Oryctolagus cuniculus: one gene and its partners. The protein of the gene in region 1 interacts with the protein of each later gene in a biochemical or structural test. Links are inferred from orthologs where the notes say so. Each region holds a gene or a part of one and is shown in the gene's direction. Other genes may lie near its edges. The genes, in order: TRIM24, RARA and RXRA.

Region 1 (3,640 bases):
AAATCCTGCTCGTCCAGTAAGATCTAAAAGCCTGTGCTAGGAGTTCGGCAACTACTTGGTTCATGTAATATCATTATGTGTTCCTAGTTTGAAGGTAGTGCTAAGTGAGCACATTCAGTCGGATTTCAGTACGTGATGATTAACTCGTTTTATGAATGTGTATGATTTCCCCCTCCTCAGGACCTGTCACTATGACTAGTGTACATCCCCCAATTCGTTCACCTAGTGCCTCCAGCATTGGGAGCCGAGGAAGGTAAACGGACTTAACCATATTCTCTAGCACATGAAATTTCTAAGTAGTAGCTCCTGCCAGTGCTCAGCACAATCGGATACTCAGAATATTCTGAACAACTTCCTTTATTTTTCACTTTTAGTTGAAATTTTAATCATTCTATTTTAATTTAATAAATGAATTGAGCATAAATTTATCTTTAAAATATTTACCTATATGTTGAAAATAAAATGTTTGACATTAGCATCAGAGCAAGGGAGGAAAAAGGTGAAACAGGAATAAAAACACACTGCACTATATAGAGACACAAACAGGGAAACAAATGATAATCTTATAACAATTTCAATGTTCTCTAACTTTGCTACTTTAAAAAGAAATAAATTTACATTTTTTGCAAATGTAGTGTAGTCTTCCCCTCATTGTGCTTACAGTTAGTCCTAGATGGTGAATCCGATTCTTGCTTAGCTCATGTGGAGGAAGCATTCTCTGAGGGGAGAAACCTGTTGGCCTTTCTTCCGGGGAGGGTAGCAGCTGTCCGTAGAAGGTTTTTGCCCCACTGCCTTCTTGAAATAGCAGAACAGCAATAAACGGTTGTGTAGTTCATTGTCTTCACACTTCAACAACAAGTTGTTAGTGTGAGTTGTCATAGCTACTGACCAGCTGAGAAATGGGACAACCTAAGAAAGATGTTCGTTCTGAGATACTGTATCTGCTTGCCAATTTTAGAACTCAGTTATCTTTCAATGCAGGGTTTATGTCAACATCTTCCCACACGCAGTATGTGGTTGTCTAGAGAGGTTAGCATGTGAACCTTCTTATCAGAGGGGATGCTTTTGCATCACGGCAGTTGCATTTCAGTTACGCACCGCTTATTGCTGATGTAGCAGTTGGCATGATTGTGGTGGTTTTTCCAGAAGTTGATTGCATATATGGTTGTGACGTCTAACGTGGCATTCTTAGTTCTTTCCTTCTCTCGTTCTGCTTGCAGCTCTGGCTCCTCCAGCAAACCAGCAGGAGCAGATTCTACACATAAAGTGCCAGTGGTCATGTTGGAGCCGATCCGAATAAAACAGGAAAACAGTGGACCACCTGAGAATTACGATTTTCCTGTTGTTATAGTGAAACAAGAATCTGATGAGGAATCTAGGCCTCAAAATGTAATTATTTTAGTGCTTGGTATGCTATTTCTATTTGGGGAGTGGGGTATGAGAAATAGCTCTTAAGGTTTAAAAAAAAAAGCCCTATATATCTTTAAAGGTTTTAAGAAATTTTTAGGAAATCGCAGTAAACAAAAAGATAAGATGGAAGACAAGAAAAGAAATGTTTGAAAAATCAGAGGCTCAAATGAAGAGGCTAGGCTTTTGGGGTAAAATAAAAGAGAAATGAATAGTAGTTAAATTGCTGAAGAAATAATAAAAGATTATGTTCTGGTAACTGAAGGGCCCAAGAATCTGAATGGAAAGGACCCACCAAGAACCGGAACCATAAATGAAAAAGATTCAAGGCATATTATTACAAATTCCAGAACACCAGAGGAAAGGCAGATTCTAAATCGTTTCTAGGGAGAGAAGCCTCTTAAACAAAAGGGTTAAAAATCATATTGTTAACAGACACTAGAACCTGGAAGAGAATGAAGAAGTAGCTAAAGTATGACAAAGTATTTTTAAGACATATTTACTTATTTAAAAAGAGCAACAGAGAGAGGTGTGGTTTTTTTGTTTGTTTGTTTTTAAATAAATCCCTTGATTCACTCCCCAAATGGCCACAACAGCCAGGTCTGAGCCAGGCTGAAGCCAGGAGCCAGAAACTGTTCTGGCCTCCCACATCAGAGGCAAAGACCCAATTCCTTGCCCGTCTTCTGTGCCTTTCCAGGGATGCATTAGCAGGAAGCCGGGTCAGAAGTGCAGCTGTCTCTGGCATTGCAAGCAGCAGCTTAACCCACTGCTTTGCAACACGGGCCCTGGAAACAGAATTTTCTAAACAAAATGTTTTACTTAGAAAAAATTTATTATGCATGAAGACTAAATATTATGAGACGTCTACAAAAGTCTCAGACAGTTGTCCACATACACATTTTCCAGGTGTGTATACACATATAGGAAAGCAAAAGCTCTCTGGGATCTTACGCAGAGCCAGAAAAGGGCAGGTTCCAGTAGAGTGGTCTGCAGTGTGGACGACTGTGGGCTCCATAAGGTTGCATCTGTAGTGACAGAAATGTTTGCGCAGTATTGAAGTATTTTATAACCTTGTGGAGACTGTGAAAATGACATAGATAAAGGTGTCTGGAAAAATATGCAAGTAAAAAAATAAGGTGATTATTTTTTGTAAAAAACAAAAGTTGTACAGAAAGGGAAATGTAGTCAGTACATTTTTGATTTTGCGATGAACTGTATTTGTATCATCATGGTGTAAACAAACACCTGAATGTAGATGAGTTGAGACCTGTGACACAATCAAGATATAACCTGAATTTGCTTTAATCAAAATCTTTGAGAATCCTTGAACCAGTACATATAGTTACTGATCGTTTGGAATAAATGCTAGCTATAAACCATTATATGCATACCATCTAGAAATTCTGTGCTGAATAAAAACTGCTAGGAGGGCGGGATGCATGCTGGTGGTGCTAGTAGTTGTGAGGGTAGAGTCAGAATGCAGAAACTGACCCTACTCATCTTCCCTAGTAGGGATTTTGTAAAGCAAGTCTACGTACATACCAAATATACACACACAATACATATAGCAAGGCCATGCAACATACATGGCAATAGAAAACCCAAGAAATTATAGATTGTACAGGCATTTTATTTAGTCCTGTAACATAAGGAAAGGCTAGATGCAAAAACAGTTGTCCCCAAAGAATGAGTCGAGATGGTTCTGTTACTGGTTTGAAAGTTTGCCACCTGAGGCTTGTGCAGAATGTTTAGATTCCTACCAGAGGTTTCGTGTCTTAGGTAGAATCTGGGTGAACAGCCCTCGTCCCGTGTATCTACAGCTCACTGAAGTTCACTTGCACATCACCTCTTCACTCTGCTGCAGCCATCAGCAGATTCAGAGGTTTTCTTTTCCCCTCTATTGTGCACACCCCTTGCTGCTGCTGACCTATTTTGATATTTTTTATTAGTCTTCTGTAAAACCTATCTTGTTCTCTCACACATTCACAGACTCCCTTGAAGTAAGTAACCAGTTCATCAAGAGACAGGAATGTGCAGTCTGCAATCATGGAAATGCTAATTTAAAAAGCCAATTAGGCCGGCGCCGCGGCTCACTAGGCTAATCCTCCGCCTAGCGGCGCCGGCACACCGGGTTCTAGTCCCGGTTGGGGCGCCGGATTCTGTCCCGGTTGCCCCTCTTCCAGGCCAGCCCTCTGCTGTGGCCAGGGAGTGCAGTGGAGGATGGCCCAGGTAC
Region 2 (4,398 bases), on another chromosome or scaffold:
CAGGAAGGAGCAGGACCTGGAGGCCAAGGTCAGGACCCAGCGCAGTATGGAGTTTGTGGGGGCAATGTTAGCCACCCTGGAAGGAGCCCGTTGGTGTGGGTGGAGGTCTCCCAGCGCCTGGACCTGCCTTGCAGCCCCTCCCTGAGAATTCTCCCCTCCCCCTTCCCCTCTGCCAAGGGTTGCAGGAGAGGCTTAGCTGTGGCAGGAGACCTTTTGGGTCTTGCAGGGCCCTGGACCTTGCCCCCCCCCCCGCAGTCCCCTTCTCATGCACTAGAGAACAAGGGGTGCACAGGACGTGGCTCCCCATCTGTCCCCCACCCGTCTGCGCCGCTCACGCCTCCACCCGCTCCCAGACGTCCAAGAATGTGAAGCACGTGGATGCCCGTAGTGGGGGGAGGGGGAGATGCTTATCAGCCGGCCGCTGGGCTAGGGGCCTTCTTCCGCCGCCGGGCTACACCCGGAGCCACCCCCACCCGCTTCCCAGGAGGAGGAAGGGCAGCACCGAGGGCCCAGAGCCCACTCCCCAGCCCTCCCCGGGGGCTGTTTAGGGAGCTGCAGAGGAGAGGGCGCCAGCTGGATTGGGAAGGGGAGTCGCTGGCCGGGGGCCCGGCTGATTTCCTGCTGATCTCCTCCAGGAAACCGGCCCCTTGTGCGAGCCTGCGAACGAACGGCTCTGGGGCGTGGGGAATCCGGAGCGCTCAGCTCGCCCGGCGGCCAGGAGGGAGGTGCGGGGGAGGGGCGCCCTGGCGGCGGCGGGAGGGGACGCCTGGCTTCCTGGTCCGCTTCCAGCCCTCCGCTGGGCGCTGGAACTTTGAGCTGAGAAGGTGTGGTTCTTCTCCCGCCTGAGCCCTTCTGCAGCTGGAGAGGGATTTGTGGGCCAGGGCCTCTGGGTAGGGAGGTTAGGGGAGAGGCCGGGTCGGGCGGCCTCTCCCTGCCTCTCCCGAGTGCAGGAGTTCCTGCTGTATCCTAACTCGCGCAGAAACTGAGGGGCGCCTGGGGTCCCTCACACTTTTGCCTTGGGTCGTTTTACCTGGTCTTCCTAGGCTGCGGGCTGGAGGCCTTGGCCCCAAGCTCTGGATTCAAAGGGCAGAGCCAGAAACCTCAGAGCTGGGTTACCTGGGAGAAAGGTGGGGATATTCTCAGGCTGGGGTGTTGCAGCCTCAAGGGCCTGCGGTCAGTGGCCGGAAGGGAGGTGGGAGGTGTCACCGAGTCCGAACTGTAGCCCCTGCGTGGGTTGTCTCCCCCGTCTTGCCAAAGATCATTTTAAAAAGCACTTTCCTCCAGTTCTGCACACACCCTCTGGACTTTGCCTTAGCTCCCAATTTCTGTGTGCCTTTCCCGGGCCTTAGAGCCCTGCCTCTCCCCGGGCCCCGCCTCCCGGCCTCCACTCTGCTCCCTGCCCCCTGCCCCCTGGGTCCTGCCGCTGCTGCTGGTCTGGCTCATTTTTGGGGTGGGGCCTTGGGAGGAGGCGGGGCCCAGGGCAAAGGGTGGATTAACAAGGGAGGCCAGTGCCTTCTTCCTCTGCTTGTTGGAATGCTGAGCGGGGATTCTAGGCCATGGCTGCCCCCCCCATGTCCTTGACACCCCCCCCCCCAGTCTGGATTGTCTATTGTTACTGTTTTTACGTCTTGGAAAAAGTTAGCACAACAAAGGGCTTCTTTGTGGCTCACCCCTCTGCCTCCTGGCCTCACCCAGGCCCCCCAACCCCAACCCCCCCCCCCCCAGCAGCTGTCCTCAGGCCTCCCTGCCTGTCTGATTTGCTTGTCTGGCCTGGTGAGAATGAGATGGGGGGGAAAACCAGGGCGGTTGGGTGTGGGGATGAGGAGCTGAGGTTCTGGGAGAGGTCAGTGAGGAGTGAATCTGTGGACCAGTGGGGGACAGCATCTACTGTCCCTTTGCTGCAGGCTGGTCTCTGGGCAGGGCAGGGCTGTCAGGCTGATGTGGGCTCTGGTGCCAAGGCTGTTAGCCTGGGTCTCGGGCGTGTCTGCGGCTAAGGGGTGACGCGCGGCCGTGAGGTGTTTGAGCCAGGAGCTGTGGGCTGGGGCGTGGAGCTGGGCTGTCAGGATCGCATCCTCACCCTTCCTAGGCCTTGCACAGGTGGAGGTGGCCAGGGCTGCAGGAGAAGCTGTACGGTTCTCATCCAGCACACTGCACCCCCCACCCCTGCCAGCCCATCCCTGTTCTGCCTGGGGCGATGGCAGAGAGCCAGGCACTGGGGAGGCTTTGGTCAGTGGGGGACAGCTCCTGCTGGCTAGGTCACCCCTCCTGGCTGCCCTCTGGGGGCTGAATTAACAGGAGGGGAGGGGTGGTAACCCGGACATACTGTTGAAGCCAGACAGACAGAGCATTGATGGGAACAGACCCCCCTTTGTCATGCTGCCTCCCCTGAGGCAGGGGGCACCCAGGGTGATGGGCTTCTAGGGCTCTGTCCCCAGGTGGTCTCTCCACCTATCTCAGGGGACCCCCACCTGCTGTGCCCCAGCCTTCGGGATTCTTCTTTGTACACCCGCCTGGGTCTGCCTGGGTCCTCGGCCTGGGGATTGTTTGGGTGGAGGAGGGGCCCTGGCTGTTGGCAGAGGGGGGTGGAGGGAGGGGCAAGCGGAAGCAGAGGGGGTGAGGGAGTGGCTGGCTTTGAATATCCTGTTGACCCCCATTTCCTCTGCCCCCAGCTTGTGTCTTCTCTCCTCCCTCCTCATCCAGCCTTAACTCCTTCCTAACTTGGGGGAGTACCGGCCAGGCCACCCGAGGCAAGGCCTAAGAATAGGGCCGGACCACCTCCTCCCAGGCAGAGCCCAGTACACAACACACACCCACATCTGATGGTTTATGATCTCAGCTTTCTGTGTTGAGGACGGGGTCCTGGGGAAGTAGACGGGCGTGATGGGGTCCCAAGGCTTCCCCCAAGCTTGACTGGGGAGTCCCAGCTTTCCCGAGACCGTCCCTGCCAGCAGTAGTGAGGCTGGGAGAGGCTCTGGAGGGAGACCCTGAGCAGGGCGGGGCAGGGCATCAGGGATGGCGCCTGGTCTCTAACCGCCCCCTCCCTTTCTCTCTCTCCAGCCATTGAGACCCAGAGCAGCAGTTCGGAAGAGATAGTGCCCAGCCCTCCCTCGCCACCCCCCCTCCCCCGCATCTACAAGCCCTGCTTTGTCTGCCAAGACAAATCCTCTGGCTACCACTATGGGGTCAGCGCCTGTGAGGGCTGCAAGGTGAGACTGGGGACTCTGGGAAGGGCAGTCTTGCTTAGATAAATGGGATGTCCCCGCTGTCACGCCCTGGGAGAATTCGGTTGAGGGCAGGGGCTGTCCCTGATGCTGCTGCTCTTGCTTGTGTGTGGAAGTTGCCAGCAGCCTTGAAGGAGGAGGGGGTGCCAGCAACAGAAGCTCCCCCATAGATGAGCAGGGCTCCCCCCAAACCAGAGGCCCCCTCCTGCCCGAGCTCCCCCCGCCCCCGTCTCCATGCTCCAGCCGGCAGGGCGTGCTCCGCTCTGCCACCGCTGCCCAGGTTGCCATGGTGAGCTGGCTGCCGACCGGCTCTTGGCTGGGGACCCAGGAGGCCTGCCCCCGGCGGCCCTGCCTGCACCTCGCCATGACAGCCTGGCAGGCGGCAGTTAGGAGCGGAACCCTGCCTCGGCTTCCCCTACAGGTGCTGAGGCTGTGGGCTCCCCAGCGTCTGCATTTTTCCCGTCCTCATGTTAGGCCCCAGCAGCTCTGGGCCTGGCTGGTCCTCTTCCTAGGACCAGAGCCTCCACACCAGTTTCTCTCTCTAGATATTAGGGTTTGGAAGCTGTACAGTCTTGGGGCTCTGGGCTGCCCATCAGCTACCTGTCGGTGTGGGACACAGGTTCAGGGCACAGCTCAGGACCTAGACTGTGTGTGTCTGCCTGCTCTGTCAGGTCGTTTCTGACTTGTTCCTCATCTGTGTCCCTGGGGAGCCTGGGTGTGGGGCCTCTGACCAGCCCGGGTCCATCTCTGAGTGCTTCATGCACGTCTGTCCGGGTGGTGACTGGGTCTTGCCACCTGGCTCCTGAGCGTGTGTGAGTGCATGAGTGCCTCCGTCTCTGGCCAGCTCACGTGTCTGAGTCCAGGCTGTGGGCTCCAGATTCCCGCCTCTGTCCCAGCCAGCCCCACGGGTTACAATTCCTGACTCAGCAGCAGCCCGAGGTCCTTCTCCCTAGAGGGAAGGGGTCAGGTGTGTGGATGGAGGCTGGGGGAAGACTCCTGCCCACCTCGTAGCGCTGAGGCAGTAGCGGGCTTCTCCCAGGGGTGACTCATCGCCCCATCTTTTCTGGCCTGCTCAGGGGGGTGATGGGCGAAGGCTTGGGAGCAGCCGCTGGCCTGGCCCACTTTCCCCAGCTGCGACTGCCGGCTGGGCGCCACTCCCGCTGTGGGTGTTGGTGAC
Region 3 (3,640 bases), on another chromosome or scaffold:
CTGAGGGCGCTGAGGCCGGAGCGGAGGGAGGCTTTGGGCGCTTTGTGCGTGCTGGCTTCTGCAGGGGGCTCTTCCTGTCCCTGGAGACGGGGTGGGGCTGGGCAGCGAGAGGAGGGGAAGGCGAGAGCTTCCCTCTGCCGGAGGCGGCCTGGAGCCAGCCGCGGGCGACTCAGCAGCTTTCCGAGTCATTGGGGGTTTGCAGAAGCGGAGATGGGGGCTGCTGCCGGGCTGGGGTCCCGCCAGCGGTGCCGGCGGCGGCGGGCAGGCGCGAGGCAGTGGGAAGTGTCTCCTGGCCCTTTGCGCTGACTGCAGAGCTGGGCGGAGGCAGCGGAACCAAAACTGCTGTGTCATTGCGACGCGGCAGCTGTTGCCAGGGTGACCGGGTGAGTTTCCCACGCTCGCCCCGGCGGGGCGGGCAGGCGGGGCGGGTGGCCCGGCGGGCCAGGGAGGAGTGCAAGGCCGCAAGGTGGCCCTGCCCCAGACGCAGGCGGTGTCTGTGCCCTCTCCCGGGTCACGTGACCGGGGACCCCGCCCCAGCTGGCCCCGCAGGGCAGTGGGGGAGCCCAGCTCTCCTCCCTCCAGGAGGCCTCTGGGGTCTCCTTGATGAGAGGCTGCCTGTGGTCAGGTGGGCGCCGGGCAGGGGCCGACAGGGGTGGGGTCGGCCATGTGTCTGGGCTGAGAGTCACCTGGTCACCCCCCTCCCCGCCTCCGCAGCTGAACTCACCCATGAACCCCGTGAGCAGCAGCGAGGACATCAAGCCCCCCCTGGGCCTCAATGGCGTCCTCAAAGTCCCCACGCACCCCTCGGGGAACATGGCTTCCTTCACCAAGCACATCTGTGCCATCTGCGGGGACCGCTCCTCAGGTAGGGCCTGGCGGGGGGACCCGCGCCCGGAGTCGGGGCGTCTGGGGCCTGGGGAAGGGTCCCCCTGGGTAGCCCACGGCGGCCCAGATGCCCCTCCCCAGCCGGCTCCCCTGTGGCCGGGAGCGGGTCTGCCCCCCCCCCCAGTGGGGAGGGCGAGGCGGGGCCCAGCTTACGCCCAGGCAGGCTCAGGAGCCCAGGGTCTCTTGGAGTCCGTTTTGTCCACGGACAGAACTCGCGTGGGGGCACGGGGCCCTCGCTCCCTGAGGCCACTGAAATTGTCCAGGTGTCCAGCCACACTTGCCCCCACCCCCGCCTGCAGAGTGACCAGCCTGCTGCTGGCCCTGGCCTCGGCCCTCGTGTCCGAGCCCCGCCCCCACCCCACACCCCGGCAGTCCCTCAGCAGCCCTGTGCCGGCAGGCAAGCACCCTGGTGTGTAGAGCTGCGGGCCGTGTCTGAGCCCCTCCCCCATGTCTGAGGCCCTGCCCCCTGGTCCAAGGGCCCGCCCCCATCTGAGGACCCTCCCTGTGTCTGAAGCCCCTCCCCCAGGTCTGAGCCCCTCCTCCCCGTGTCCAGGCCCTCCCCGTGTCCCTTCCCCCGTGCCTGAGGCCCCCTCCCCGTGCCCGAGGCCCCCTCCCCCTGCCCCCCCTCCGTGCCCCAGGCCCCGCCCCTGGCTCATGGCCCCGCCCCGCAGGCAAGCACTACAGCGTGTACAGCTGCGAGGGCTGTGTCCAAGCCCTCCCCGTGCCCCCCCCCGTGCCTGAGGCCCCCTCCCCGTGCCCGAGGCCCCCTCCCCCTGCCCCCCCTCCGTGCCCCAGGCCCCGCCCCTGGCTCATGGCCCCGCCCCGCAGGCAAGCACTACAGCGTGTACAGCTGCGAGGGCTGTGTCCAAGCCCTCCCCGTGCCCCCCCCCCGTGCCTGAGGCCCCCTCCCCGTGTCCGAGCCCTCCCCCTGCCCCCCCTCCGTGCCCCAGGCCCCGCCCCCGGCCCCGCCCCGCAGGCAAGCACTACAGCGTGTACAGCTGCGAGGGCTGTGTCCAAGCCCTCCCTGTGCCCCCCCCCGTGCCTGAGGCCCCCTCCCCGTGTCCGAGCCCTCCCCGTGCCCCCTCCCCGTGCCCCAGGCCCCCTCCCTGTGCCCCCCCAGGCCCCAGGCCCTGCCCCCGGCTCACGGCCCCGCCCCGCAGGCAAGCACTACGGCGTGTACAGCTGCGAGGGCTGCAAGGGCTTCTTCAAGCGCACGGTGCGCAAGGACCTGACCTACACCTGCCGCGACAACAAGGACTGCCTGATCGACAAGCGGCAGCGGAACCGGTGCCAGTACTGCCGCTACCAGAAGTGCCTGGCCATGGGCATGAAGCGGGAAGGTAGGCCCGGGTGGGGGCGGGGTGGGGGCGGGGCCCTGCTCCACCGGCCACGCCCAGCACAGCACCCAGGCCCGAGCTCATCCAGCGCTGCTGCTGCTGTATGGTGGGCGGGGCTTCCCGGGAGAGGCGGGGCTTCCCTGGGAGAGGCGGGGCTTCCTGGGAGAGGCGGGGCTTCCCTGGGAGAGGCGGGGCTTCCTGGGAGAGGCGGGGCTTCCTGGGAGAGGCGGGGCTTCCCTGGGAGAGGCGGGGCTTCCCTGGGAGAGGCGGGGCTTCCTGGGAGAGGTGGGGATTCCTGGGAGAGGCGGGGCTTCCCCGGGAGAGGCGGGGCTTCCTGGGAGAGGCAGAGCTTCCCCAGGAGAGGCGGGGCTTCCTGGGAGAGGTGAGGCTTCCTGGGAGAGGCGGGGCTTCCTGGGAGAGGCGGGACTGGGTAGTGCTGGGGGCGGGGCCCTGCTCTCTGAGGGGGCAGGTAGCTCTCAGGGCAGCACTGGGCACTTGCTGTCTGCCAGGCCCTGGGATTAGCGAGGAGACGGGGCAGACTGGCCGCTGTCCCCCACCTTCCCTGGTGGCGTCCGTGCTGGGGGACGGAGCAGTGAGTGGGCTCCGGGAGTCGGGCAGCCTGGAGCGAGCCTTCCGGAGAGCACGTGGGGCCACGGGCAGGAGCCGGGGAGAAGAGTGGGTGCCCCGAGCCCTGGGCTGCGTCCCGCTCTCCGGCTGTGACCGGCTGTGCCCGGTGAAGGGAGGGTGATGTTGGGGCGCCGCCTGAGACCTGTGGGCTGTCGCCACGCCCGCTGGCCGGCAGGGTGGGGGCATCGTCCCGCACTCTGCTTCCTCATGGGGCCCCTCCTGCCCCTGCCCGGGGTCGCCGCCTGCAGGAGGCGCCTCAGGCCCCGCTCAGGGCTTTGAAGCCGTTGTGCTGGCGGAACTTGGTGTGGGGAGTGGGTGGCAGGGAGGCCACTCCCCTGAGGTCACTGAGAGCCCAGGCGTCCAGCCAGGCGTGGGCTGCGGTTGCCGCAGTGCCTGTTCCCGTGGTCTCACACGTGTGTGTCAGTTCTGTGGCTGCTCCCGTGGTCTCACACGTGTGGGTGTCTGTTCTGTGGCTGCTCCCGTGGTCTCACACGTGTGTGTCAGTTCTGTGGCTGCTCCCGTGGTCTCACACGTGTGTGTTCTGTGGCTGCTCCTGTGGCCTCACATGCGTATGTCTGTTCTGTGGCTGCTCCCGTGGTCTCACACACGTGTCTTGCTTCCTTCCCCCTGGCCCCTGATGGACGGGGCCCCGTGGGCTCTCTGCCAACGCCTCCCTGTTGAGCTGTGGCCCCAGTGGGGCCAGGGAGCTACAGACATCACGTTGCTTTGTGGGTTTGTGTGTGTGTATGCACACCTGTGTGTACATGTATGTATGGGCACGGGCATGTGTG

The links.
Region 2: the proteins of TRIM24 (region 1) and RARA form a complex in vitro, tested with the Homo sapiens proteins (3 studies listed by BioGRID). The link is inferred for Oryctolagus cuniculus from reciprocal best matches to the Homo sapiens genes TRIM24 and RARA.
Region 3: the proteins of TRIM24 (region 1) and RXRA form a complex in vitro, tested with the Homo sapiens proteins (3 studies listed by BioGRID). The link is inferred for Oryctolagus cuniculus from reciprocal best matches to the Homo sapiens genes TRIM24 and RXRA.

Annotation. Positions count from the first base shown.
Region 1 is NC_091434.1:185,293,336-185,296,975, reverse strand, and holds part of TRIM24 (transcription intermediary factor 1-alpha), read left to right. Parts: intron 1-180; coding exon 181-253; intron 254-1,220; coding exon 1,221-1,389; intron 1,390-3,640. UniProt on the Homo sapiens protein: Transcriptional coactivator that interacts with numerous nuclear receptors and coactivators and modulates the transcription of target genes.
Region 2 is NC_091448.1:22,126,414-22,130,811, reverse strand, and holds the start of RARA (retinoic acid receptor alpha), read left to right. Parts: upstream 1-1,541; 5' UTR 1,542-1,556; coding exon 1,557-1,773; intron 1,774-3,057; coding exon 3,058-3,206; intron 3,207-4,398. UniProt on the Homo sapiens protein: Receptor for retinoic acid. Retinoic acid receptors bind as heterodimers to their target response elements in response to their ligands, all-trans or 9-cis retinoic acid, and regulate gene expression in various biological processes.
Region 3 is NC_091432.1:235,969,266-235,972,905, forward strand, and holds part of RXRA (retinoic acid receptor RXR-alpha), read left to right. Parts: intron 1-477; exon of another isoform or gene 478-625; intron 626-714; coding exon 715-865; intron 866-2,045; coding exon 2,046-2,225; intron 2,226-3,640. UniProt on the Homo sapiens protein: Receptor for retinoic acid that acts as a transcription factor.